Linked DNA regions of Mytilus edulis. The protein of the gene in region 1 purifies or fractionates together with the protein of each later gene. This does not show direct contact. Links are inferred from orthologs where the notes say so. Each region holds a gene or a part of one and is shown on either strand. Other genes may lie near its edges.

What was found.
Region 2: the proteins of peroxisomal ATPase PEX1-like (region 1) and peroxisome assembly protein 26-like purify together in Homo sapiens (affinity purification with western blotting; 3 studies listed by BioGRID and IntAct, with this or other methods). This does not show direct contact. The link is inferred for Mytilus edulis from reciprocal best matches to the Homo sapiens genes PEX1 and PEX26.

The regions. Positions count from the first base shown.
Region 1 is NC_092346.1:52,570,612-52,583,967, forward strand, and holds the start of peroxisomal ATPase PEX1-like, read left to right. Parts: upstream 1-6,869; 5' UTR 6,870-6,946; coding exon 6,947-7,045; intron 7,046-8,870; coding exon 8,871-9,005; intron 9,006-12,468; coding exon 12,469-12,552; intron 12,553-13,356. UniProt on the Homo sapiens protein: Component of the PEX1-PEX6 AAA ATPase complex, a protein dislocase complex that mediates the ATP-dependent extraction of the PEX5 receptor from peroxisomal membranes, an essential step for PEX5 recycling.
Region 2 is NC_092344.1:37,970,794-37,983,466, forward strand, and holds the start of peroxisome assembly protein 26-like, read right to left. Parts: upstream 5,245-12,673; 5' UTR 5,213-5,244; coding exon 5,037-5,212; intron 418-5,036; coding exon 277-417; intron 1-276. UniProt on the Homo sapiens protein: Peroxisomal docking factor that anchors PEX1 and PEX6 to peroxisome membranes. PEX26 is therefore required for the formation of the PEX1-PEX6 AAA ATPase complex, a complex that mediates the extraction of the PEX5 receptor from peroxisomal membrane.

The DNA.
Region 1 (13,356 bases):
ACTCACTAGCCTGTCGATGAACGTTATCTATGTTTTGTTTGATCCTCTTTTAGATGAAATAAATCTCCAATTAATATATACATATTTCTCTTTAGTCTTTTCATACGATTGGGCTTCGTTTTATTTGCAACCGCCGGCATGTATAACCCCCTCTCCTTTTTAAACCTTTATCTTCGCAATTTGTTACAATTTCTTTTCGGTTTGGTCAACATACATCTTTCCAAATCACCATATTCCCATCGTCAAGTTGTATAGATGTTTTTTGCCACTTTCAGCAATATTGTCTATTTCATGGCGGTCAGTTTTTATTGATAGAGGAAGTCGGAAAGCCAGGAGAGAACCACAGACCATCGGCGGGAAATCTGGCAATCCTAGTCATTTGAGATTGGAGTCGAACGCACCTGCAACGTGCGTGGTTCGAAGTCACAACCGTGGTTTTGACAAGTATATAGTAGTTTGAACTACCTGGACCATCTTCTCGTTTGAAGATCGTTAAACAAAATACTAAACTAAGATGCTACAACCCTTTACATTTAATGGAAACGAGACGGTGGTTTGGAATTTGCAGATATGGAAAACCCGTGTCATCTATGCTTCTTGTGTCAATAGGAAACGAATTTCATTCAATATTTGTTATCTGTTATCATTTAATAAAAAAGTAAGAAAATTCCCGAATATTGCTTTACTGTTACATTTTCAAGTGGTGAAAAAATGAAAGGGATAAGTTTTTATTTAAGATTAGCAAATGTTTAGATTTCAAGTTAAAATATTGTAATTATATTCTCAATTATATAATTATGTAAAAATTGTTCTATATTTAATTGCTAAAATCATTGATTTTCATTAATACATTTGTTATAGTTATGTATTGTGCTAATTAGTACACGTGTATATGTGTCTCAGTGGTCCTAAAAAACATTTTGTTATTATTATGTTATGTAAGTCACTGATGAGTCTTTTGTAGACGAAACGCGCGCCTTGCGTATATATACTTTTTTTTTTATCCTGGTATCTATCACGAGTTTATTATGTTATGACCAGCAGGGTCACCTGGTATCTAGAAATAGCTATCGATTAGATTTGATTTCCCCTAAATTTAATATCAAAGTGTGCTGGTGGTTTTGTTACATGGGTTCCATATGCGTCTCGTGTGTGTGTGTGTATATGTGTGTGTGTGTATATGTGTGTGTGTGTATATGTGTGTGTGTGTGGGTTTGGGGGATACCACTATCATTGCCACTGGCTAACTCACGTGTGGGTGAAAAGAAAGTCGAGTGTGTAGATCTCCAGTTCCTGTCAGTACAAAGCCTCTACACTATCAAAGATTTCTCGCGACAGCACACAGTCAACTATGTTATATTACCCTAGGCGTCATCTGTAGAGGATCTCGGAGCAGCAAGGGCCACCGCGATGCAGTGTGTAGGCAAACTGGCGTGTGGACATGCCCTAGCACTCATCATCCTTGCCCCAGCTATGAGTCACATAGTATCACTGCCTTGTGATTGCATTTTTTAATCAAAGGCTATGGAAGTAAACCCAGACAGACGATCCGGGTAGATAGATCTCGCTGGCAATAGCAATCGACTAAGGGATGTAAACCCCTACAGAAAAGATGCCGGTCCTCCGAGTCTAGGTGGATAATCGTAGGGTAAATCACCCTGCCTTTGACAAAAATCTTGAATACAGAAACGATCACAAAAGCAACTTCTTCTCGTCAAATGACTGGAGGAAAATCAACTCATTATAGATATCAGGATTGAAATTTGCACCAGACGCACGTTTCGGAAGAACATGTTTTTAAACGAAAACAGCATCTGACGCGAAGGCCGATGAAGTTGCTTTCAAACAAACTCATCACCAGAATAGGCACATGTAATGTAAGAATACTATACCAAAGTGGTAAATGTTCATAAGTAGCAAACAAGATCGCTAGATACAAGATTGATATTCTAGGACTAAGCGAATTTATCTATGATGAGTTTATTTACAGCTTGTAACCCGGATTTGTATTTTTTTCTCAATCGATTTATAAATTTCAAACAGCGGTATATAAACTCATCATAGATACCAGGACTAAATTTAGTATATACGCCAGACGCGTTTCGTCTACAAAAGACTGTTGCCTTTATTTACAACCAATTAATTGATACCACTCATGGTGGGGTTTTAATTCCACGAGGGTATAACCATCCCAGTAGTCAGCACTTCAATATGTAACACTTTAATAAACAAATTTATATTATATATACTTCACTGCTGACATGAACTATAATTGACATATTTATAAATTGTGTTTACAAACTTTTGAATACTAAGGCTTTTTACCGCAAGAATAGACTACCTTAGCTGTAAGGAATTTTGGTCCTCAATGCCTTTTTAACTTTTTGGATTCGAGCGTAACTGATGAGTCTTTTGTAGACGAAACGCGCGTCTGGCGTAAATATAAACTTAATCCAGGTATCTATGATGAGTTTATAAGATGGAACACACATCAGGCATGACAAATTTGAATACAGGCCACACAATTATATATTACAGAAACACCAAACAGAATGACCCACATGGAAAGGGAGTTGGATTTCTTATAACAAAAAGACTCTAAAACAGCTCTTCTGGAGTGGAAGCCCGTATCACCAAGAATTATCACAACATGCTTTATATAACTCACGTTTCCAAAAACCACCCTGATACAAGTAAATGTCCCAATCAATGATGCAGAAGACAGTGAAAAAGAAGATTTCTACCACTCATTACGAACAACCATATATAAAAGGTGCTAAAAAGGTACCTATTGGTAATCATAGGTGACCTAAATGCTTCGGTTGGATCAGAAAGAAAGGGATGGGAGTGAGACATTGGTCCTCATGGAATAGGAAAAAATGAAATGAAAATGTGCAGAAATGTGCTATGATATGACGCCTTGTCATAGGAGGAACACTTTTCAAACACGAGAATTGCCATAAGGTAACGTGGGTGTCACCAGCAGGAAATGCAGGAAACCAAATAGACCAAATAACCATCTCTCAAATATGCAAGATGTTAGGGCAAAACCAGGAGCAGATGCAGCATCAGACCATCATCTATAGTTGAAGGACCAATAAAGATGAAAATTTAGCTCCCCAAAAACCAGATATAACAAGTGCAAAGTTGAAGAGCATTGATGACCCAAATTCCTAAAAATTGTGCCAAATACGGCTAAGGTAATCTAAGCCTGGGATAAGAAAGTCCTAAGTATTCGAAAAATTTATACTTTTTTAATCAGGAAATTTATAAAATGACCAAATAATTGATATTTATGTCAACACCGAAGTGCTTGCTACTGGGCTGGTGATACCCTCGGGGACGACACGTCCACCAGCAGTTGCATCTACCTAGTGGTGTAAATAGTTATCAAAGGTATCAGGATTATACCGGTAATTTAATACGTCAGACGCGCGTTTTGTCTACATAAGACTCATCAATGACGCTTAGATAAAAAGAGTTATTAAGCCAAACAAGTACAAAGTTGACGAGCATTCAAGACCCAAAATTCCAAAAAGTTGTGCTAAATACGGCTAAGGGAATCTATTCCTGGGATTAGAAAATCCTTAGTTAAACGATGAAAAGAACATTTTAAAAAAGTGCCAAACAGACCCATCTAACATAGAAGGGAGACAGGTCCTGAATAACGCTTTATTGTTTTATAAATGCTGCAATAAAACAACTGAAACATGGAAAAGAAGGAGGAATTGACAGCATACCCCCTAAAGCTATTAAGGTAATGAATTACCTATGTATTGATAAACTTCACAACTACTTAACAGAATATGGAATGACGAACATATACCTGATGACTGGCGTAAAGATATCTTTATTAAACTACCAAAGAAAGGCTAAATCAATCTGTAGCAACTGGAAAGGTATAATGTTGCTTTCAATTCCTAGCAAAGTCCTATGTCACATCATCATCCTACAAAGTTTAAAGAAATAACTGACATTGTCAAGATATTGGATTTCTTGATTTACAACATATTTGTTACTTTTGGAGGACGTGTTTTTTTTCAACAGACAGTCGGCATTCCAATGGGAACCAATTGTGCCCCTCTTCTTGCCGACTTGTTCCTTTATTATCATGAGGCCGACTTCATACAGAGATTTCTTATGAAGAAAGATAAGAAGTTAGCATTATCCTATAACTTTACTTTCCGCTATATAGATGATGTTTTCTCACTAAATAATTCAAAATTTGATGACTATGTTGACCGCATCTATCCCATCAAACTAGAGATAAAGGATACAAGATACAGTTAAGTCTGCCTCATATCTTGACTAACATCTAGAAATTGACAATGCGGGTCGGTTGAAAACAAAACTTTACGACAAAAGAGATTATTTCAGCTTCCCAATTGTGAACCTTTCCATTTCTATGTAGCAACATTCCAGCAGCGCCTGCATACGGGGTATATATCTCATAATTGATACGATACTCCCGGGCCTGTATTTTCTATCATGAAATCATTGAAAGAGGGTCGCTCCTCACAAGGAAGCAATTAAACCAAGAGTTCCAAATGGTGAAGTTGTAATAATTCCTTGGTAAATTTTATGGACGCCATCACGAGTTGGTTGACCGTTATGGAATATCCATTTCACAGATGATATCGTATATGTTCTTTATGTCATAACTACAATTCCGTGGACATTACAGTCATGCCTAGAAGACATTGACTTTGCAGACGATATCTGCCTGCTTACCCATCGCCATGAAGACTCACAAAACCAAGCAACCAACCTTGATACAACTGCAAAACAAGTAGGACTATACATAAATGCAAAAAAGACAAAATCAATGAGGGTAAACGAAATTAAAACCAACTTATCAAAATCAAAGTGAGAGAGATGCTGAAATAGAAGATGTCTTAAAATTTACATATCTTGGAAGTATCATCACTACATCAGGAGGTGTGATTATTTGACTGGTTGGGGACTGTTTGGTGGAGGAGGGACAAATATAAGTACAAATGAAAATTTGGTTGGTGCAGGGTTAAAAAAACGACATAACCATGTCATTTCCGAATGAACTTTATTTTGAGGTTTTGCGTGAAAGTCACGGGTCGGTTGGGGTTCGGAATCTAGATCTAGCGGAGATTTTAAAAATCACATGAATTAATTAAGACATATTGTCTGCACTATCAAGAATAAGGGACGATACGCACAAAAGAAGGAGAATATTGCATGGTCATGTGCAGTTTTCAAAGATGCATTTGGATTACTCTACCTAAGAGTCAAATGCTTCCACTGAAATGAAATTCAAAAGTCACATCTGCTTTATCAGTGACAAAGTGAACAAAAGAACTTTTTTTTATAATGAAAATCGTTTTCAAACATTAAGAATTCATTTAATGAATGGCTATTATTAATTTTTAATTTATTGAACCATAAAATTAATTTTTGACTCTTCACATTGAATAATCCGCGAAGCGGATTATGTAAAATGTGAAGAGTCAAAAATTAATTTTATGGTTCAATAAATTCAAAATAAATTATTGCCATTCATTATAAATAAATTTCTATCAAAAATAAAGCTCAAAGAACTTTTTATATTATTTATATTAACAATAGCAACGTACACACTTGTTGGCGTATGAGTACACAACGTCAGCGGAGTGGGCGTGTCGCCATAAAAATTGACAACATTGAAAATAGAACTAAAAATTTTAACCAATCAGAAGACAGTAAATACACCAAATTTATTTATATTATAATATTTAACTGAAAATCACATTTTAATATTAAAAATTAATTTTCTAATATTAACAAAATACTTACTAATATGAAAAAATAATCTTTTTTTAACACCAAAAATATGATTGTATTTTTTTATATTAGAAAATTATAAAAAAGTAAATAGTTTTGATGTTAAGGTAGCACAATACAAAGATTTTATAACTCCAACTCCAAAGTTTTAAAATGCTGTAACTTTCTTAATAAAGCTTGAAAATTTATAAAAGTGGTATTTTTGGATAGCTAACAGATTACTCTTTGAAATAAATGCAATGTTAGTATTATGCAACAATTATGTAACCAATTATAATGTTAACTGTGCCTAAAATATTTTTCACCAAATTTCCACTTTCAAATGAAATTAGCTTCTGCATAGGTATCCCTAGAGGATTGATTTTATTATATGTTGTTCCTATGGCCATTATCTACAAAAGGGTGTCTCAGATTTCAGATAGAATGTATAGAACAAATTTTACACATAATTAAACATTATCTTCTTTTATTGGTTAGGATGTTTACACTAATAAGAGATTTATGAGAGAATGGCAGAAACAATCTGAGACACCCTTTTGAAGCCCACAATGTGTTGATTAAGATTTCGTTAAAATTTTCTGTATAGTTAAAGAAATGATAGAGCTAAATTCATTCAAGTGAGCTTACCCAAATTTTGACACTAATTACATAATAATTGATTACACAATGATTGCATAATAAAAATATTGCATTCATTTAAAAGATTAATCTTTTATCTATCTATATATACCTCTTTTATCATTTTCTATGCATTTATAAGAAAGTTACAGCATTTCAAAGGTTAGTGATTGGAAGTAAAAAAATCTTTGTATTGTGCTACCTTAAGAAATAGCTTTTTTGTCCACCGTTAAAGTGACTTTGGCTTGCTTTATCTAATGAAAGTCCAAAGTTTGAAATTCATTTAAAATTCTCCTTTTCCTTACTTCAATATAGTATATATTGTTATGGTCTCAAAACTACTCGACCCGAAGCCAACTATTATCCTCTACAAGAAGAACAATGATTTGCTTCTATATCCGTACTTCATGGTGATATTTATTTTTCATTTAACATTTGGTCTTTTGACAAATCAATCCATCTTTTATTCACTCCACTGGACCGGAAGTGAAAGGATGGTCAGCTATTTTTATCTTGAAAAACTACACTACTTGAAATGAGCTGCACAGTGACCAGAGTGTCCCACAAAGCTGAAAAGAACTGCTTTATTGTCTTACCAAAAGAGTTGTGCAAAACATCGTTAGCCGCTGAAGGGGTAAAAAAGACGAAGCTTTGTAATATTTCTACTTTCTGTTTCAGTTTCACTTTTAAAATGCATGTTTAAAATAATGTTGCTTCTTCTTTTCTCCTTTACCGTCATCATGCATTTTATTTTTCAGTTTTTCGTTCCAAAATTACCCCATCACGACGCTCATGGTTCGAGACCGCAATTATTTCGTGGTGACTAGTGCATTTCTTTTAGAACATAAATGAAAATTACTCCCACCTTTGCTTTCTCAATGAAATTGTTACAGTGTGTTGTACTACTTTTGGGACAAATTATATCAAAATTATAGAAAACTTCATCAGCTCTAACTCAAAACATGGACAATTTTATGTTTAGGGCGTCTTGAAATCTTTTGACAGCTTCCAAAGTGCTAATTTTTAACCTTTTTCAGCTGGACCAAATCACTACTTTCCTTTAAAATTCTGGACCCAAATTTTTTTACAGTGTAATTTTACCCCCCTTTTTGCAATTTGAGGCATTAAACATGGAGAAATAAATTTGGAAGGAGTATATAAATTAATGGCAAGTAACCCACTGTCAACACTAGGGACTATATTTGTGGACAACGAAAATCAAGGGACGACAATTGTGGTCTCGGACCTCATACTCTAAATTCAGAATCTTTCTAAAAAGAAACAGAAATATTGATAATTGAAAGGTTACAGGTGTTATCCCAGGCCATATTAGCGTTGCAGTATTCGGCACCATTGTATTTCAGCACTGTGCTATTGGGCAGACCGCAGCAGTTTCTAATACACCTTATCGCTATTTGTCCGCCATTACTGGATATCACACAGGTTCCGGTAAAATTTTGACGTCATAAACAAAATATCTGAAGCCACAATGGAAAAGTGATTGTTGTATGTGTCAAAAGATCAAGCGGCTGGGTCAGCCGGGATTAGCGATAAGGTGTATAGCAGTGCTATTGTTTTTTTGAATTTTTAAACATCCGGTATTATTCTGTACAAATCTAATAATGTGATTGTTAATTCAATTAACGAAGTAAAATATCGGAAGGGTCAGTTCAATAAAGGAACATACTGGCGCCATTTGCAAAACTTTTTCTGTCCAAAAAACTTATCTTTCTGGAGTTTTTGATTTTCAAAAGATTCAGAAACTTCACAAAATGACAAAAGAAATGGATAGTGCTTAAATATCATTACTCTTTCACATTTACAATTGAACTGTTGAACCTGTTTCTGTTGCTTTAAGGGTTTCATATCAAGCCCATATTTTACGATTACTTGCATCGCTCTTTTTATATATCAAATAAGAGGATAAACCAAAAAGAAAAAAATATGTAAATATATCTAAATTATCAATATATTTGCCATCAAACTGTCAATAAATATATACATATAGGTGGTAAAACATTTTTTTACCTGTATATAGTGATTATACTTATATACTATAGAAGGCTAAATGACTATATATACATGTAGGTATTATCTATAGGCGATCCCAACTATCGGGTAAATGATGCATAAAATTTACAACTGCAAAAGTGGTCTATTGCTGATCTTCCTTTTGAAGTCACAGCCAGGCTTTCAACAAGTAGTAAAAGCACACACCTTATTGTAAGTTCAAGATGCATTTCTTAAAGGAATGAAAATTGGATGCATTAAATTATTGGAAGCAAACATCAGACATATTGGATAGTTGGACATGTTAGATACCTTTTGTGTAACAGGCCATTCCATCCCTTTTTGTTTATCTTATCTAGACCATATGCTGAAAAAGTATAAAAAAATGTATATATGGAACAAACTATTGAAACTAGTTATTGATATATATTTTTGATACCATTTTGTAGATACAGGTGTATGAAGTACAGTTTGGTAGGGATGAACATGCTTATTTTACTGCTACTGGAGAATCAGGATACAGAGATGCAGAACTTCAAGTGAATGGAATATATGCTGACAGACTTGGAATGAAGGATCCAGAAGTAATTTTCTTAGAAAGAGTTTAGGACAATTGTTTTGTCTCTGGATTCATTATTATTAGTTGGATACCCATTTTCGTGGTATTCGTGGGAACAAAAAGTAAAATCACAAAAATACTAAACTTACATGTAGAGGAAAATTAATTTGGAAAGTCCATAATGACATGGCAAAATTAAAATACAAAACCCATCAAAAACAAATGGACAAGAACTGTCATATTCCTGACTTGGTACAGGCATTTTCAAATGTAGAAAATGGTGGATTAAACCTGGTTCTATAGCGCTAACCCTCTCACTTTGATTACAGTCTCATCAAATTCTGTTATATTTACAATGATGCGTTAACTAAACAGACACAATAAATAAAATAGTCAAAATATGGGAACAGCAGTCATCATCTTGTAACAATTTTTAAAGGAACAATTTAACAGAACACAAAAACATCTATCTACAAACACATTCATTGATTTGTGTGTCTGACGTCAGAAAATTTTATACGTCACATATATTTGTCGTTCAATGTACATACAAACAATTTTAAAATTTCACATAGGCAATGTTAGCATACAGGGTTAAAAATCAAAAGTATGAAAGAATAAATTTCAGAAATAGACTGAGATTTAAAATAGTCCAAAAGTTATATATAGAATTTATAAGAATCCACAAATAGCTAATTCCACTACGCGATTGAATGATTTTGACGTTTATGGTTCAACGCATTTTGTAATTCATAATAGAAATATATCATAATGACATGAAATAGAACCATTTCATACTGACGGGATCTTATAAAGTACAGAGTCACGTTATATGAACCAAAGAAACACAAAAAGTTGCATATACAAAACACACCACCAAAAAATGAAAGACAATACAAACACATTGACGGGATGTATACATTTTGTAAGTACCGAGCCAAGTCAAATATTACCTAAAACAATCCAACAGAAAAAGTAATATTATTAATAGAACAAATACAAATGAAAGAACAATAAAACACATTGTTAAGATGATAAACAACATCAGTACTCAGAATCTATACATTAAGACCATCATGTATTATTTGTGAAGTTGATACGGAATATTTATCAACAAGGTCTTGGTATCTTCCGATGAACTTTTTTTGAAAAAGGACGAGACGTTCTTTGACATACCCCTGGTTCATCAACTTTCTACTCAGACACTGATGACGTTTTACAAAGTCTGAGTAGGAGCTGCAAGCTCTTGAATATCTAATAAGTTGGGAAATATATATCCCATATGCAGGTCAAGTTGGTATATTGCTACTAAGGTGGGGGAAATTTATTATTTCAAAATCAAAATTGTCTTGTTTGTCATAGATTCTGGTACTGAATAAGTCTTAAAATGAAGCAGAGGAATCCGTGTCTGTTGTTTCTTTAATTTCTAGTTCTGGGGGATATATTGATGGAACCCAATCAGAAAAGTTTGGATTGTTTATGGAAAGAACATCATCAATATATCTGAAAGTGAAATTAAATAATCTCGCTTCTTTGATCCTCTTGTTTTTGGCAAGTGTCTGGAGGAACTCCGATTCATATGAAAATAAGAAGAGGTCGGCAAGAAGAGGCACACAGTTTGTTCCCATAGGAATGCCGACAATTTGTTGGAAAAGTCTACCTCCAAACTCAACAAATATGTTGTCGATAAGAAACTCCAGCAAGCTGACCACTTGTTCTTCTGTGTAGCATGTTTTACCTTTTTGTTTGTCACTATTAACGAAATATGCCTTATGAAATCCCAAAGTAATAAATTTATAGCGTATGCTACCATTTTTATGTTGAAAGGCATTGTGGATGATTTCTTTTTAGGCGATTTTTCAATTTCACATGGGGAATGGTGGTAAACAGGGTTAAAAAATCAAAAGTTTTGATAGAACTAATTTCAGAAAAAGACTGAGATTTAAAATTGTCTAGAAGTTCTTTAGAATTTTTAAGAATCAACATATGGTTAATACCACTAAGCGAGTAAACAGTTTCACAGTATTACTGAAGACCCTCTTTCACTGCGGACAGAATTTTAGTCAATCTAATGGACAATTCTTTAGTGGAACATGAAGATGAGCCAGCAATATACTGTTGTTTGTACGGAATTTTATGAAGCTTTGGTATCCAATACAAACAAGGTAAGTCCTTCGATTTGATGTTCAATGTAATGTTTATTGAAGCCATGAAGGACTTATGATTTGCTAAAATCTCATCCTTGTCAAATGATATGTCTTTGTATGTGGGATTACCTGAGTGCTCCTTTATACTCGATTCTTTTACAAGACATTCGTAGTAATACGATTTACATACAAAGACAATATTATTTGAAGCTTTGTCTGCAGGAATAACAACATACTTATCATGAAGAGATGATAGACATTTCATGACCTCTTTGTCTCTGAAAACGGACTTTGGTCGATCGTTCACACAGTTTTTCAACTTGTGAATGCGACGTTTTATCAGAGACCTGATAGTTTTTACCCATTCTGACAAAGTGTCCAGTTCAACTTCTTCTCGCTTAGCTCATGCTCTGGCGTAGTCCTCAATGGAATCCATAATTATTTTGAAGTTATGGTTCCAATTGATGTGTTGGGGTTCTCTAAACTTAGGACCATGAGAAATCACCTTTCAGAGATTTTCATGTTGAATTATGTTAAAATCCCCAGTTATAAGTTAACATGACCAGAGGGGCTGTAATTATAAGGCGAGTGCGAACTACAAAATTTAAGTGTACAGTGAATTACAAAATTTCTAACAGCTTTAATGCAGACATTGGCAAAACCATGAAATTAACATCTACTAAAGTGCAAGTTTTCCTAAATCCAAAAATTGGTTAACCATAAAAAAAAAAATGAATCCACAGTAGTTAAATATGTTGATAAAAAATCTCACACTTTGTAAACAAACCTGCATATAATTGTATAGGAACGGCATCCTCTTTCTCTACATTTGCTTCTATACCATAACTTGTGGATCATTCCCATTTTATTCATTTTTCAAGAATCACCATGTTCACTATCATGAAACAAAGATGACCAAATTTGATTCTTTCTATTTTGATGTATTCTTCATCCCTCATAGTTCTTTTTATGGCACATATTTTTAAACTATTCTCTCATTTTGTCCTTCCAAAATACAGCCATTGTTTAACTTTTTTGTTGGTCCTACATATATTATGGACCTTTTATGCAGTTGAATAATGAGTTTTGTTAGTTCTGTTAAGAAGTGGTTTGTGAGGTAAGTATAAATACAGTGATATGTCAGTTATATCATGCAGAAAAAATGTTTCTAGTATAGCATGCAACAAAAATGTTTCTAGTATAATGGTTATGATTTTATGTAATCAGTTTTTATGTTTAATGTTTAATCTTTATGTTGTCAGTACAAGATTATACACTAATTTCATTATTTTTTTTGTATTTAGTAAGAATAAATTGAAAGTGAAAACTTTTTTTTTCCAGGTATTGGTTAGACCTATTAGTGCAGTGTCAAAATCACAGAGAGTTTTTATAGAACCACAGTCAGTTGATGATTGGGAGATATTGGTTTGTATATTCATCTAGATATCTTTATTGAATTTTCTGATTTTCTGTTTATTGGCTTCATCTAGACTTGCAGACAGTAGACTAGTTAAATGCCTGTGGGTTTGCATTATTTTTCGTTAGCTATTCGTTATTTTACGATTCCATTCAAAGAAGGTCCTTAAATTTCCTGTCAATTTTTTAAACATCGGATTTTTCAAATAGCCGTTGTGAGATTTAAAATATTTTGATGAGAAAATTAATTCCTGAATATGTCAATAAAGATCGCTTTGGATGGAAATAATTATTTGATTGCAATTGGTAATGATTTGTTCCAAATATTAAAGGTTACCCATTCTAATTTAAAATAGTACAATTTTTAGTCCATACACTCGTGTTTAGAAGGCTATTATTATTTATAAATTTATTCAATTAAATTAACTCAGTATCATTCATCGTTACAAAAGTAATCAGAAGTCATAATTCATTTAAAAGTGAGCTTATGCAATATATAAAAATATATACAACGGCTATCCAGTTATTGTGCGTCCTTATTACTCCCGTTAATTAGTTTTAATTCTTTTTTTACATTTCTGTGTCTAAAACTATCATGCTCGTTTATCATTCAAACGAAATGTTGATCACACCTGGAACGGTGAACCGTGACGGCTAGAATTCACTGAATGAAGATCCAAAGATTAGAGTTACATAATGCTAATCTTTTAATTACCTTAAGTTTAACCACGCATTCAACATTCATCAAGAGTCACATAACAATACACATTATATTTCGACAATAAAACTGAGCAAAAAATGTTTGCTGGACTG
Region 2 (12,673 bases), on another chromosome or scaffold:
CCCTCACAGGTATGGAATTATTTTATTATGGATGCGTACCCATTGTTGAACACTGTATGATGACCAGCAGATCCTTACCTTTTGTTGACTTGTGTTTAATAGTTGTCACCTTGCTCTCAGTGTCATATAATAATGTGTCCTTATGTATACTTATTATAAAATGACTGTTGTGAAATGTTGCATCTTAAAACAACTTGACAATGTTGTTCATAAAGACTACAAACTTTAACCATGGTTTGATTTTATATCATGTTTGAAACTGTTTATTTTACCCACCATAGCTGAACAACTCTAAATGGACATTCTTCAATACTTGTATACACATTCTGTACATAAGGAAGGACCTGTTGCCAATGATTTAGCTCTGCATATGCCTGTATGCCAACAATACATAGTGCTTCTACAATATCTGGACTTCTGAAAAGTATTATAATCAGTTAATTAATATTTCATGCTAGGATATTTGCTCACCTTTCTTTATCAATGTACTGAAGGAATTTCGAATGTTTTGTTACCCTTAAAAGAATGTCATGAACATTTTTTTTTAACATTGGAAATTACCCTAGAACCTTTTGAAATTATCTGAATCAATATATATGTACTTTGTAACCATATATACATGTACAACAATACAGTATTTAACCAGATGCTCTGCAGGGCATAGCTTTATACGACCGCAGAGGTTGAACCCTGAACAGTTGGGGCAAGTATGGACATACATGTAACATTCAAGCTGGATTCAGCTCTAAATTTGGATTGTGATTAAATAGTTGACACAGCATAGGTGTCTGACACAGAATGAATGTGTTCTAATGAACTTAAAATTTTTGTTTTCTCTTAGAGCAATTCACTATGCTGTTGAATATTAATCCTCTCAAAAAAATGTTTGAAGAAATTTTCTTTTTTATTTATGAAATTTCAAATGAGAAAAATTGAACCCAATTTTTTTAATCACATCCCCCTTTCCCTTATTCCAAAACTAATCTCAATTAAAATTTCTAATGGAGTTTGCAACAATAACTACTCATTTAAATACATCATAAAATATTAAGATGTAAAAAAACTGCTTGTTATCACTGAATGGTAAAGATTATTTTAATTTATCAGTTGGTAGTAAAAAGTGAATGTATATTGTATATAACAAAGATTTAAGTTGATTCTGGACAAAGAAAGATAACTCCAATTAAAAAAAAATCTTGCTATTGCACAATATTTTGCAATTAGATATTTCTTGCTTACTATTCTGGACAAAGAAAGATAACTCTAATTAAAAAAAAATTTGCTATTTCACAATATTGTGCAATTAGATATTTCTTGCCATTGCGCAATACTGTGCAATTGAAAAGACTTGCTATTGCACAATACTTAATATAATAATTTTAGATCCTGATTTGGACCAACTTGAAAACTGGGCCCATAATAAAAAATCTTAGTACATTTTTGGATTCAGCATATCAAAGAACCCCAAGATTTCAATTTTTGTTAAAATCAGACTAAGTTTAATTTTGGACCCTTTGGACTTTAGTGTAGACCAATTTGAAAACAGGACCAAAAATGAAGAATCTACATACACAGTTAGATTTGGTATATCAAAGAACCCCATTTATTCAATTTTTGATGAAATCAAACAAAGTTTAATTTTGGACCCCGATTTGGACCAACTTGAAAACTGGGCCAATAATCAAGAATCTAAGTACATTTTTAGATTCAGCATATCAAAGAACCTAACTGATTCATTTTTTGTCAAAATCAAACTAAGTTTAATTTTGGACCCTTTGGACCTTAATGTAGACCAATTTGAAAACGGGACCAAAAGTTAAGAATCTACATTCACAGTCATTACAGTTAGATTCGGCATATCAAAGAACCCCAATTATTCAATTTTGATGAAATCAAACAAAGTTTAATTTTGGACCCTTTGGGCCCCTTATTCTGTTGGGACCAAAACTCCCAAAATCAATACCAACCTTCCTTTTATGGTCATAAACCTTGTGTTTAAATTTCATAGATTTCTATTTACTTATACATGTACTAACGTTATGGTGCGAAAACCAAGAAAAATGCTTATTTGGGTCCCTTTTTGGCCCCTAATTCCTAAACTGTTGGGACCTAAACTCCCAAAATCAATACCAACCTTCCTTTTGTAGTCATTAACATTGTGTTTAAATTTCATTGATTTCTATTTACTTAAACTAAAGTTATTGTGCGAAAACCAAGAATAATGCTTATTTGGGCCCTTTTTTGGCCCCTAATTCCTAAACTGTTGAAACTAAAACTACCAAAATCAATCCCAACCGTTCTTTTGTGGTCATAAACCTTGTGTCAAAATTTCATAGATTTCTATTAACTTAAACTAAAGTTATAGTGCGAAAACCAAGAAAATGCTTATTTGGGCCCTTTTTGGCCCCTAATTCCTAAAATGTTGGGACCAAAACTCCCAAAATCAATATCAACCTTCCTTTTGTGGTCATAAACCTTGTGTTAAAATTTCATAGATTTCCATTCACTTTTACTAAAGTTAGAGTGCGAAAACTAAAAGTATTCGGACGACGACGTTGACGACGCCAACGTGATAGCAATATACGACGAAAAATTTTTCAAATTTTGCGGTCGTATAAAAATGAATCTTTTAAAAACTAGTATTTTTTGTTTTTGCAGTACTGTTTTTACACCAACAATGTACGTAATCTAAGTAATAGTTATCCCATGAGGATGCAGTGTGTCTGTATAAGATCACCTTGATTGTCAAAGTTGATCTTTTAATAACAGAAAAACCAACTCTGAGTGGGATAACTATTTTAAATCCCAGGATCCCAGCTCCTCTAGAAAATATAAAAAAAAAAATTTCATTAAACTCCATAACATCTAGTTCAAAAGTCATAAAATAATTATTATATACTTTATATATTCAGGGATCTCCATGGATGAAAATTGAACAATGGAGGAACTTTCACCATCACAAACCATGTCTACGCTGTACAGTGTAGCGCAATTGAAAGTATTTCATCCCTCCAAATAAGGATTGGTGAACATGCTAATTCATTGCTTATTTAAATTATATTTATTTGAATTTTCATTATACATTTGTTATAAATAAAAGTATAAATACTTTCAATAATTGCAATCCGAGAATGACAAAAAGCTGTCATGAAGGTCCCCATGTATTTTTCTTGCTATTTTTGATAATTGTTATGGGGTTTAAAATCAGGTGGAGCTTATTTTTCACAGACACTGTCAAATTCAGAAGTCATGAACCCATTACCGGTATGGCTGATTTGCAGCAACATTGACAAAATCATTGGTACGGGTTATGTAAAAGGTTAAAGAGATTTGTAAAGCAAACGTTGACAAATGAAAAGGTTTTTAATGACTTTATCTAGCAAATTGATGCTATGCATCTTTCAAGTCTGAATAGAAACCGGAAATGCAGATGTATCAATTAGATTGTAAACCAAGAAATGAATTCGGAATTACAATACAATATTTCTGTACAGGAAATATTAAGTTTTAACTTTTTAACTTTTAAAGTAATTCTATATTATTGTTACAATACAGCAGTACTCGAGTTTTTTGCGATGAAATAATAATTACTGTTTTACATCTTTTTTTCTTAACATCTTTAAAAAGGGGGATGCAGATTGCATAAGTCAAAATAAAAGCATGTGTTCGACTCTCAGAGGTTCGACTTGTTAAAACTATTTTCTTTGTAACTGGATTATTAATTCATTTATTTAATCTAAATTATCATAAGCATTTGCAGAAACTTAGTTGAATAATTCGACAAATGAATCCTCTATCTTCAGATAGTATTCTCCTGTCTGGTTTGTTGATCTACCTGTACAAGCTCAGGTACAAGTGATTAGCAATCTTAATCCGGATATCCCTCAGGCGTTAGAACTGTATTGGATTATAATATAAAAAAAAGCCTGAGGGTTATGCAATTACATGCAAATGACATGCATTTTTTTTTTAAATAATGGCGTCAGGCTATAACATGTATAAAAACGGTTACAGTTTTGCACGATGGTGGAAGACAATTTAACGATGGTGCAGGTCATTTGACAATGGCGCAAGACATTTGAACGATGGCAGGACGCCATAGTTAAACAGGCCATGGAGATCCCTGATAATAATAAATAGTATATACCCTTCATGAACACTGGATACAATGTTTTCAGAATAAACATTTCAAATTGACATACAGTTTGTATCCAATAGTCCTGGTGTAGGGGTATATATGAATCTTGGCTTCATATGCTGAAGGTCTTGAGTTTGATTCCCAGCATAGACTCAGTTCATTCCTGGTAGGGCAAAATAGTTGGGATGTAATGAACTTATCTAGACTCATAAAACCTATGCATGAGCTTCATTTGAACCTTGTTGAAAAACATTCACAGTTTTCGGTAGGGTAAGAATGTGTTTTGGGAGTGAACAGACCCCTGATACATGTAATACCAACAATATATAACCAGGTTAGGGGGATGGTTGGAATCCCGCTCACATGTTTAACCCCACCACATTATTTATGTATGTGCCTGTCCCAAGTCAGGATACCTGTAATTCAGTGGTTGTCGTTTGTTTATGTGTTATAAATTTGTTTTTAGTTCATTTTTTTTATAAATAAGGCCATTAATTTTCTCGTTTGAATTATTTTACATTGTCATATCGGGGCCTTTAAAGTTTATAGACGACTGTGTGGTATGGGCTTCGCTCAATGTTGAAGGCCGTACGATGACCTATAGTTGTTAATGTCTGTGTCATTTGGTGTCTTGTGGACAGTTGTCTCATTGGAAATCATACCACATCTTCTTTTTTATATATATAGAGGGATAATCAGATAATATTCTATGTATCTTTTGAGATTTAGGGTTTTGATATTAAGAACTTGTTTAAATGTTGGTTATAAATCATTTGTTTCAGAGCAATTATCTGATTAGAAAATTGCGCTGACACAGTCGGGGCAAATAATATGGACGAACATTGTAAACTGTTTTACTTGTAAATACAAAAATGTAAATTGATAAACATATTAATACCCATTATATTCTAATTTAGCTTTAACTATTCCTTTTTCGCATGTTTTGATGCAATCATCAAAGTGTTTGAAAAGCAATTGTTCTCTAGCAAGATCCAAACAGTGTTTTGCTGATTCAATATTTGTATGAATCGTTGAATGATCAGTTTTTCTAGGACCAATTTCTTTGGAAGCCATTTTACAGTCATGTGACCTGCATAGGAAAACTTTCTATATAGTGTTGATTTATATGTTTCAAGGCAACATCAACAGTGAACGATTTTTTGTCATTTTTATTTTGTATACAACTTGGACCTCTACTAAGGGGACGACCATTTGATATTCTTGGGGGGGGGGGAGGATTTTGAAAATAAATAACTCAGCCTTGATAATCACAAAAATAAATGGTTTGTTCTGTGGTAGTTTGAAAATAAATTAGGCTGACTTACAATGTATAGAAAATAAATAACTCAGCAGGTCTAATCGAAAGTTTGAGATGGCACCAGATTCTTCATAAATTCATCTTTTCGCCCCGAAAAAATCGGGAAACACTTCCCAATAGTTTTAATAACAATAGTATAAATATTATTTAAATATACTTGAAGTGTCTGAAAATTGGTTTCATTTAACTTGAGGTATATTGTCTCAGGAAACCTTACCTCGCTTTTATTTTAACAGGTCCGTAACTACATGTAGGAAATTTCAAAACCAAACGCTTGTCTCCATAGCAAATTGTGTTCACAGCCTTGCAAGAAGAAAGTTCTGTTTTCCATCAGACTTATAGCCCTGATTTTTCGGGATCAATGTTTCTTATTTATTTGTCTTTTGTTCATTGATTGCCCTTCTGTATTCTGTTAGTGTTGCATTCCTTTTGTAATCTAGTAATTTTGTTATGAACTTGATCATGAGTTAAACAAAAAAAAAAACAGTAGCCACAGACTTAACTATGTGAATTCCATTTTTTCTTTATCATGCACATTGCCGGTCTTTTGTGGTGTCCCTAGAAACTTCAGTCTTACACTGAATTTATACATTTTTCTTTGAGACCAAAATATTGTCAAAAAATTATTCAAACAAAACTTCCTTTTCAGATTATGAAAGGGTCTTCGGAACGGTATTCGGAACGGTATTCGGAACACCAAGAAAGCATCATTTTGCATCATTAGTTCTATAGCTTCTTGGGCCTTCAGTGGCTCCAAAACCCTTCAAAAAATTGTTTGCCTCGCTCCGCTCGGCGTAGTATGTTTGCCAATACATTTAAAAGGTACCTAGTCATAACTAAACTTTAATACTATGTATGTTTGCAATACATGTATATGCAGTTGGGAATTTAAAAGATTCATTCCTGCAGAGGGGGATGGATAATCTAATTAAATGGTACATAATGACTTTACTATACTATATGTATTATTTATAATAAACAAATCATTTAAAAATTGTATGTTTTCGAATATCAAAAATATGGTTGTGAAAATGAATAATCAGTCTCTTGCTTTAATGAAAATGAAAAATCTTGCTTCAATAGTGCAGAAAATGAATACGCTGTCCTCTTAGTTTACAAAAATAAATAACCGATCAAAAACAAATCCTCCTGCCCCCTCCCCCCAAGGATATTAAACGGTCGTCCCCTTACCACGGCTTTTAATTTCAATATGATCATGTAAATACAATGATCTTATTCAGTGAAATTTAAAGCTATGGTAACTCTATATTGAAATAGTTTTATATATGATAGTGTATTAATTTGTTAAGAATAGTATTACAACATGATTTTTCCTGATTATTTGTATATATTAAATTTTGAATATGTTAAAGCTCATACTGACACAGACTTAGGGTAAATGTACGACGAACTATGGCCCTCTTTCGCTCAGGCTCTCTTCCGCTCGCAATTGAAGTAGGGAGATACTCCAGGCCGCCTATGCCTACAGAAGAACGATTATGTGTATTGATTGATTGTAGAGCCATTGAAGATGAAAAACATTTCCTACTGGAATGTCCTTTGTAAAGTGATCTAAGATACGACTTATTTTACGAATGTTCTAAGCACATAACGAATTTTGTCAATATAAATATTAATGACAAATTTCTAAGTATTATGAATGGCACTGAAATCCAGCATTATTTTTGTAAAAGTCTACACAAATTTTTTATCCGCAGAAAATTATTTTTGTAATGATTCAACTTCTTTTCCCTTTTTATGCCTAATTTAGACAAATAAAAGGGGTTTATATTTTTAAAAGTTTATATTCTATAAATAGTTAAATTTTTATTTTATTTATTAGACAATGTGATTTATAAACTGATATTCAATTATGAATGGAATTGAGAATTTTTATCATTTTTTTGTGAAATGAGTATATGTTTTATATAACTAATTATTAGAGATTCAAGCTCAGGATTATTTATTTGTGGAAAAGACGCATATTAATTTTAATATTTTATTTTTACGCTATTTTAATCTGTAAATATGTATTTGGTATAACATAGTGTCTCGTAAGTCAGTTTTTGGCTGGATATTGGTTGTTTTATAATGTATGTATATCGTGTATGAATTATTTTTATTGCAATCAATATGTGACACTTTAATAAACAAATTATTTATTTATTATTTATTTATTGTAATTGTAATCGTTAATCAGATGTAATTGATTACAATTTTTCAAGTAATCAGTGTAATCATTAATCAGACAAAAATCTGATTACATGTAATTTAATTTAATCAATTACTTTTTAAAATACCCTGTAATCTTGATTACTTTTTTATTACATTCTGATTACAATGAAAACAAACCTAAAATTGTGTTTTTGGTCATTAAATGAGCCTCTTTGTTATTCATATTTGATACTAAAACATACTAAAATGGTTTGTTTACTTTAAGCATGTATACTTCAGTAAAAAATAAACTGTTACAGTATTGAAAAGTCATCATTAGCCTAAGCAGAGACATATGATACAATTGTATACCTTTTATCTTGATAAAAGATATTGTACATACATGTATATTCATCGTTTTATAATGATCTTCATATTAATATTTGATAATAACTGTTATATATTCAAGTAATACTGAATTATAGTCTTTTGTTAATTTTTCGGATTTTTGTCAACTTTGAATTGAAATGACTAATTAAGGTTTGTTTTTATTGCAATAACCAATTGAGTATAGCTGTAGGGAAATATATATGACAAAATATAAATTAAGGACTTCGAAACTGAGCTTGTCTATACTAAGAAAAAGACACCGAGAGAGAACGTGTAGTTTTATGAATAACATTATAATACAAAGCCCGCAGACAAAAGGAAATATTAAAGTAAGGCAACTAGACAAGCCAGAATCCGTTGTTCATCTCGACTGGCCTCAAATATAAGCTTTTGTTAAACATCTTTTCTGTTATCGAACTTCTTTTTTACTTTTCTAACTCATGGATACATTTTCAAAGAATGCTTATTTTGTTCATAATAAAGATGATTAAACAATCCAGATTTGTTCTTCACAAATCGAAACAAGCTTAGATAAACTTGAAGTGATGGTATTATTGGATTCCATTTCTAACAACAATATAATGAGCACAAGAGCTATAATATATAGTTTGCCTTTTTTAGCCGACTACGAAAAGTATACGGTTTCAAATCCTTGACTGTTTAATGTTCAGTTCCGATGATAAAAAAGTCGTTTTGTCAATGTATCATTGCAGAATAAAATGTTTTTGATTGTGTTGTCTGTATTGGAGAAATTTCAAAGAAAGTGTGTCCATCAACATCTACAGGACTTGACTGTGGTAAATCAAGTTAAGATTATGGTTTAATTTTCAAAAGTGAAAAGCACACATGTCCTCATACTGTCCTTTTAACACGACGGGAACCACATGTGGAGTAGGATCTTCTTACTCTTCCGGAGCACCTGAGATCACCCAAGTTTTTGGTGGGGTTCGTGTTGCTTAGTCTTTAGTTTTCTATGTTGTGTTCTTCTGTACTTTTATTTGTCTGTTCGTCTTTTTATCTTTAGCCATGGCGTTGTCAGTTTATTTTCAATTTATCAGTTTGACTGTCCCTCTTGTACCTTTTGTCCCTCTTGTACCCTTTGTCCCTCTTGTACCTTTTATCACTCTTGTACCTTTTGTCCCTCTTGTACCTTTTGTCCCTCTTCTATTGCATGTAATCCGCCTCATATGAAGAAAAGAACTTAATAGACAAGAAGAGGAGCACAGTAATTTTTCATTGTTTGTTAAAAAAAACACGTTATCCAAACGAAACAGATATTTTGTCAAACAAAAAAATCACGCATCCGTGACCTTAATACTGTCAATTTCACAGAAGGTTTTATTCAAATTAAAGTGACATTTTTTTTAAAACATTTCAAATCTACTTCTCAAAACAAAGGAGTAGGTTCAGTAAAACCCCTTTTTGGCCCCAAAATATGGCAGTTTTAGAAAATTGTGAAAATGTAATCGTTATGATATTTATTGAAAAGTAGAATGCTTCTGCTATATAAATATGGGCTGTTTTTGACAATACAATGCACATATATCGGGTACTAGCATCATTAAGTCATGCTAAATTACTGAAATCTTCACAATTTTAGCATTTTAGTTAAATTGTAGACGGTTTCCGGCTTAAATGAAAGTGGCCGCATTCGTGTTCATTCATAATTTTGAAATGTAAGTTGTATTTGATGATAATACATAATATATATAAAGAGAGTGAGGATGAACACGGATGCGGCCAGTTTCATTTTTGACAAGAAGCATCTGAAAAGTGACGATTTTTGGCATATTTGATAGATTTTTCATATTTAAGCTTGAATCGGAGTGTTTTGAATGACTTAATCAGTTAAAATCTTTCACATAAACTAATTGAATCAATTGAAACAGACACTTAAGTGTTTAAAAAGTGTCTAAAATCTTTCTTTAGATGAATTTTTAAATTGAGGCCGAAATCGGCCATTACCGGACCTACTCCTTTAGTTTTGACCAGAGGTAACTTATTATAAAGACAATTCTACAAATTGACATTTACAAGTTGGACCCATTATAAGCCCTATACGGAATTATCTATTTTGTATACCTCATCTTTGTAAAAGAGATCGGACACCAAGCTTGATAGGTGAAATATTTGGAAATGAGAAAACATCCAGGTAAACAGCAAAAAAATAAGCCAAATAAACAAGCATTCGAAAATTTGGATTTCAACCAAAGAGACAAATTTCTGTACAATATGTAAGGCTCGTTAGTACCCGAGTCTAAGATGTTCCTTTTTTCAGTGAACAAAAATGACATGTTAAAGATGGAGGGATATTTTTTTTTTATTTCTTTGAAGTTTCTAGTAATGTAATATAAAAATATATGAATATACCAAGACTTGGACAAAGATCTTTCAGGTCGATACATCCATCGATGAGAGCGCTTAATATTATGGTTATCAGTTTGCATCACGTATACGACAATTATTTAATACATAAAGCGTGACATCGTACCAGTTGTCGCGTATCAAGTTGAATACACGTAAGACAACCAAGGCAACAAATATGTCAAATAAACTGCTACATGTATTACTATTCATATACACTTCCGTTCTTTAATGAACTGTTACACAATTATATTAAGGTGTTTGCAAATTGATGTCCTTGTACAGATTTTGTCAGAAATACTGTTGATGTACATGTCTTTTATAACTTCCACTATTTCAGGTAAGTTTATATTTAATTAGACAAGTTCGATTCAGCTTTTCCTGGAGCTGAAAGCTTTATACTTATATGGAATAAGGATTAAAAAATGAAATTTAAAATTCAATCACTGATCAATAGTTGCAATTATTTCCTTAAAGTCATAAGAAACCTCAAATTAAAAAAAAATAATGCATATGTTTTTTATAACTCAATGGATAGTTTACATTATAAAACTTATGTACATATAATTTTTTCTGAAGAAAATTCTTTAATTTATTCATATTTAGAAGAAGTTTACTTTATTTTAGTTGCTTCCTTCCAGAAAGCAATTCCCCCGACATATTTTCCGTATTCAAAGTGACCTCAGTGTGACCCATCTCGTAAAAATCCGGTGATCGCAACACGCATGGATGTCCTTAAAAGAACTATTATCTGAATTTACATGTTTTAAAAACACGTGCTCAATTTTTCATACTTTGTTGTTTTGTTGTTGAATGTTGACAAACAGGTGACAATCGTAAAACTTCAGCTTCAAAACACGAACTTTAATTACCTGTTATATTTTCACAACACTGACCGATTGAGAAAAAAAAATTGACGATTATACGAAATTTATGCGAAAAAAAAAGAGAAATTCTTGAACAGAAGACTAAGTTTATGATGTTTGTATGCATTGGTTCAAGAATTGGAAGAACATTATTTTTCACCGTCCACTCGTTTCTTATGACGTACTTTAATGTTTTTAAAAACCTAAATGCATAATAATCATGATGCACTATCTGAAAGATAAGATTAATTCAACGTTTGGATTTTGCCAGATTTTCATGTAAATGCTTTTATAAATAGCTTAATTTTACGTTGATTTAGTTAAACTATTCATTCACATAATAACCGTCTGGGTGGTATTGTGTTAGTGTGAACTTTTTTGTTACGAAACAGAAGAGATATGATGTAACTATGTCATGATGAAAATTCCTATAATACGCTTGGCTACCCAAAGTAAAGAAACAACTCTTGTTATCACCCAAAAGTCTAACCGTAGACTTGAAAACTGCGATTAGTCGTTTCCGCATATCCATTCACGGCATGTGACATATAGCAGTAAGAGTAACGAATAAAGAAAGATGTAAGCCTATATAAATTGTCCTGATATGTTATAGGTTATATAGATATAAGAAGATGTGGTATGAAGGCAAATGAGACAACTCTCCACCCAAGTCACAATTTCTAAACGTAAACCATTATAGGTCATGCAAAATTCGATCTTCAACACGGAGACTTGGCTCACAACGAACAGCAAGCTATAAAGGGCCTTTAACTTTGTACTTGTTTGGCTTTATAACTATTTTGATATGAGCGTAACAGATGAGTCTTATGTCGACGAAACGCTCGTCTGGCGTATTAAATTATATTCATGGTACCTTTGATAATTATTTGATCTGTAAAATATTGTTAAAACTAATTCATTCGACAAAAAATATAAACCAGAATCAAAAGTCGATGAAAGACACACACCTGTGAACCCATTTAGAAAAGAAAAATAAGATAAGAAAAACAGCAGTTCACAAACGCTACACAGAAAAGAAGAGTCAGCAACAAACAACAGTAAAAAAAAATGCTTAAAAGAGTGAAGATACAGAAAAAAAACAATCCATGAGCATTTCTCAGAAAACCAAGATTCAACAACAATCAAAAGTCACAAACACTACCCAGAAAAGTAAAGATTTAGAAACATACAACAGGCCACAAACACTAGCAAGAAAAGTAAGGTTCAACAACAAACAACAGACTAGAAACACTTCTCGCAAAACTAAGACTCAACAACAAACAACAGTCTACAAACACAACTCATAAAGCTAAGACTCAACAACAAACAACAGTCTACAAACACTACTCGGAAAAGTAGAGTCAGCAACATACAAAAGTTCACAAACATTACATAGAAAAGTAAAGAGTCAGCAACAAAAACCAGTCCACAAAAACTACCTAG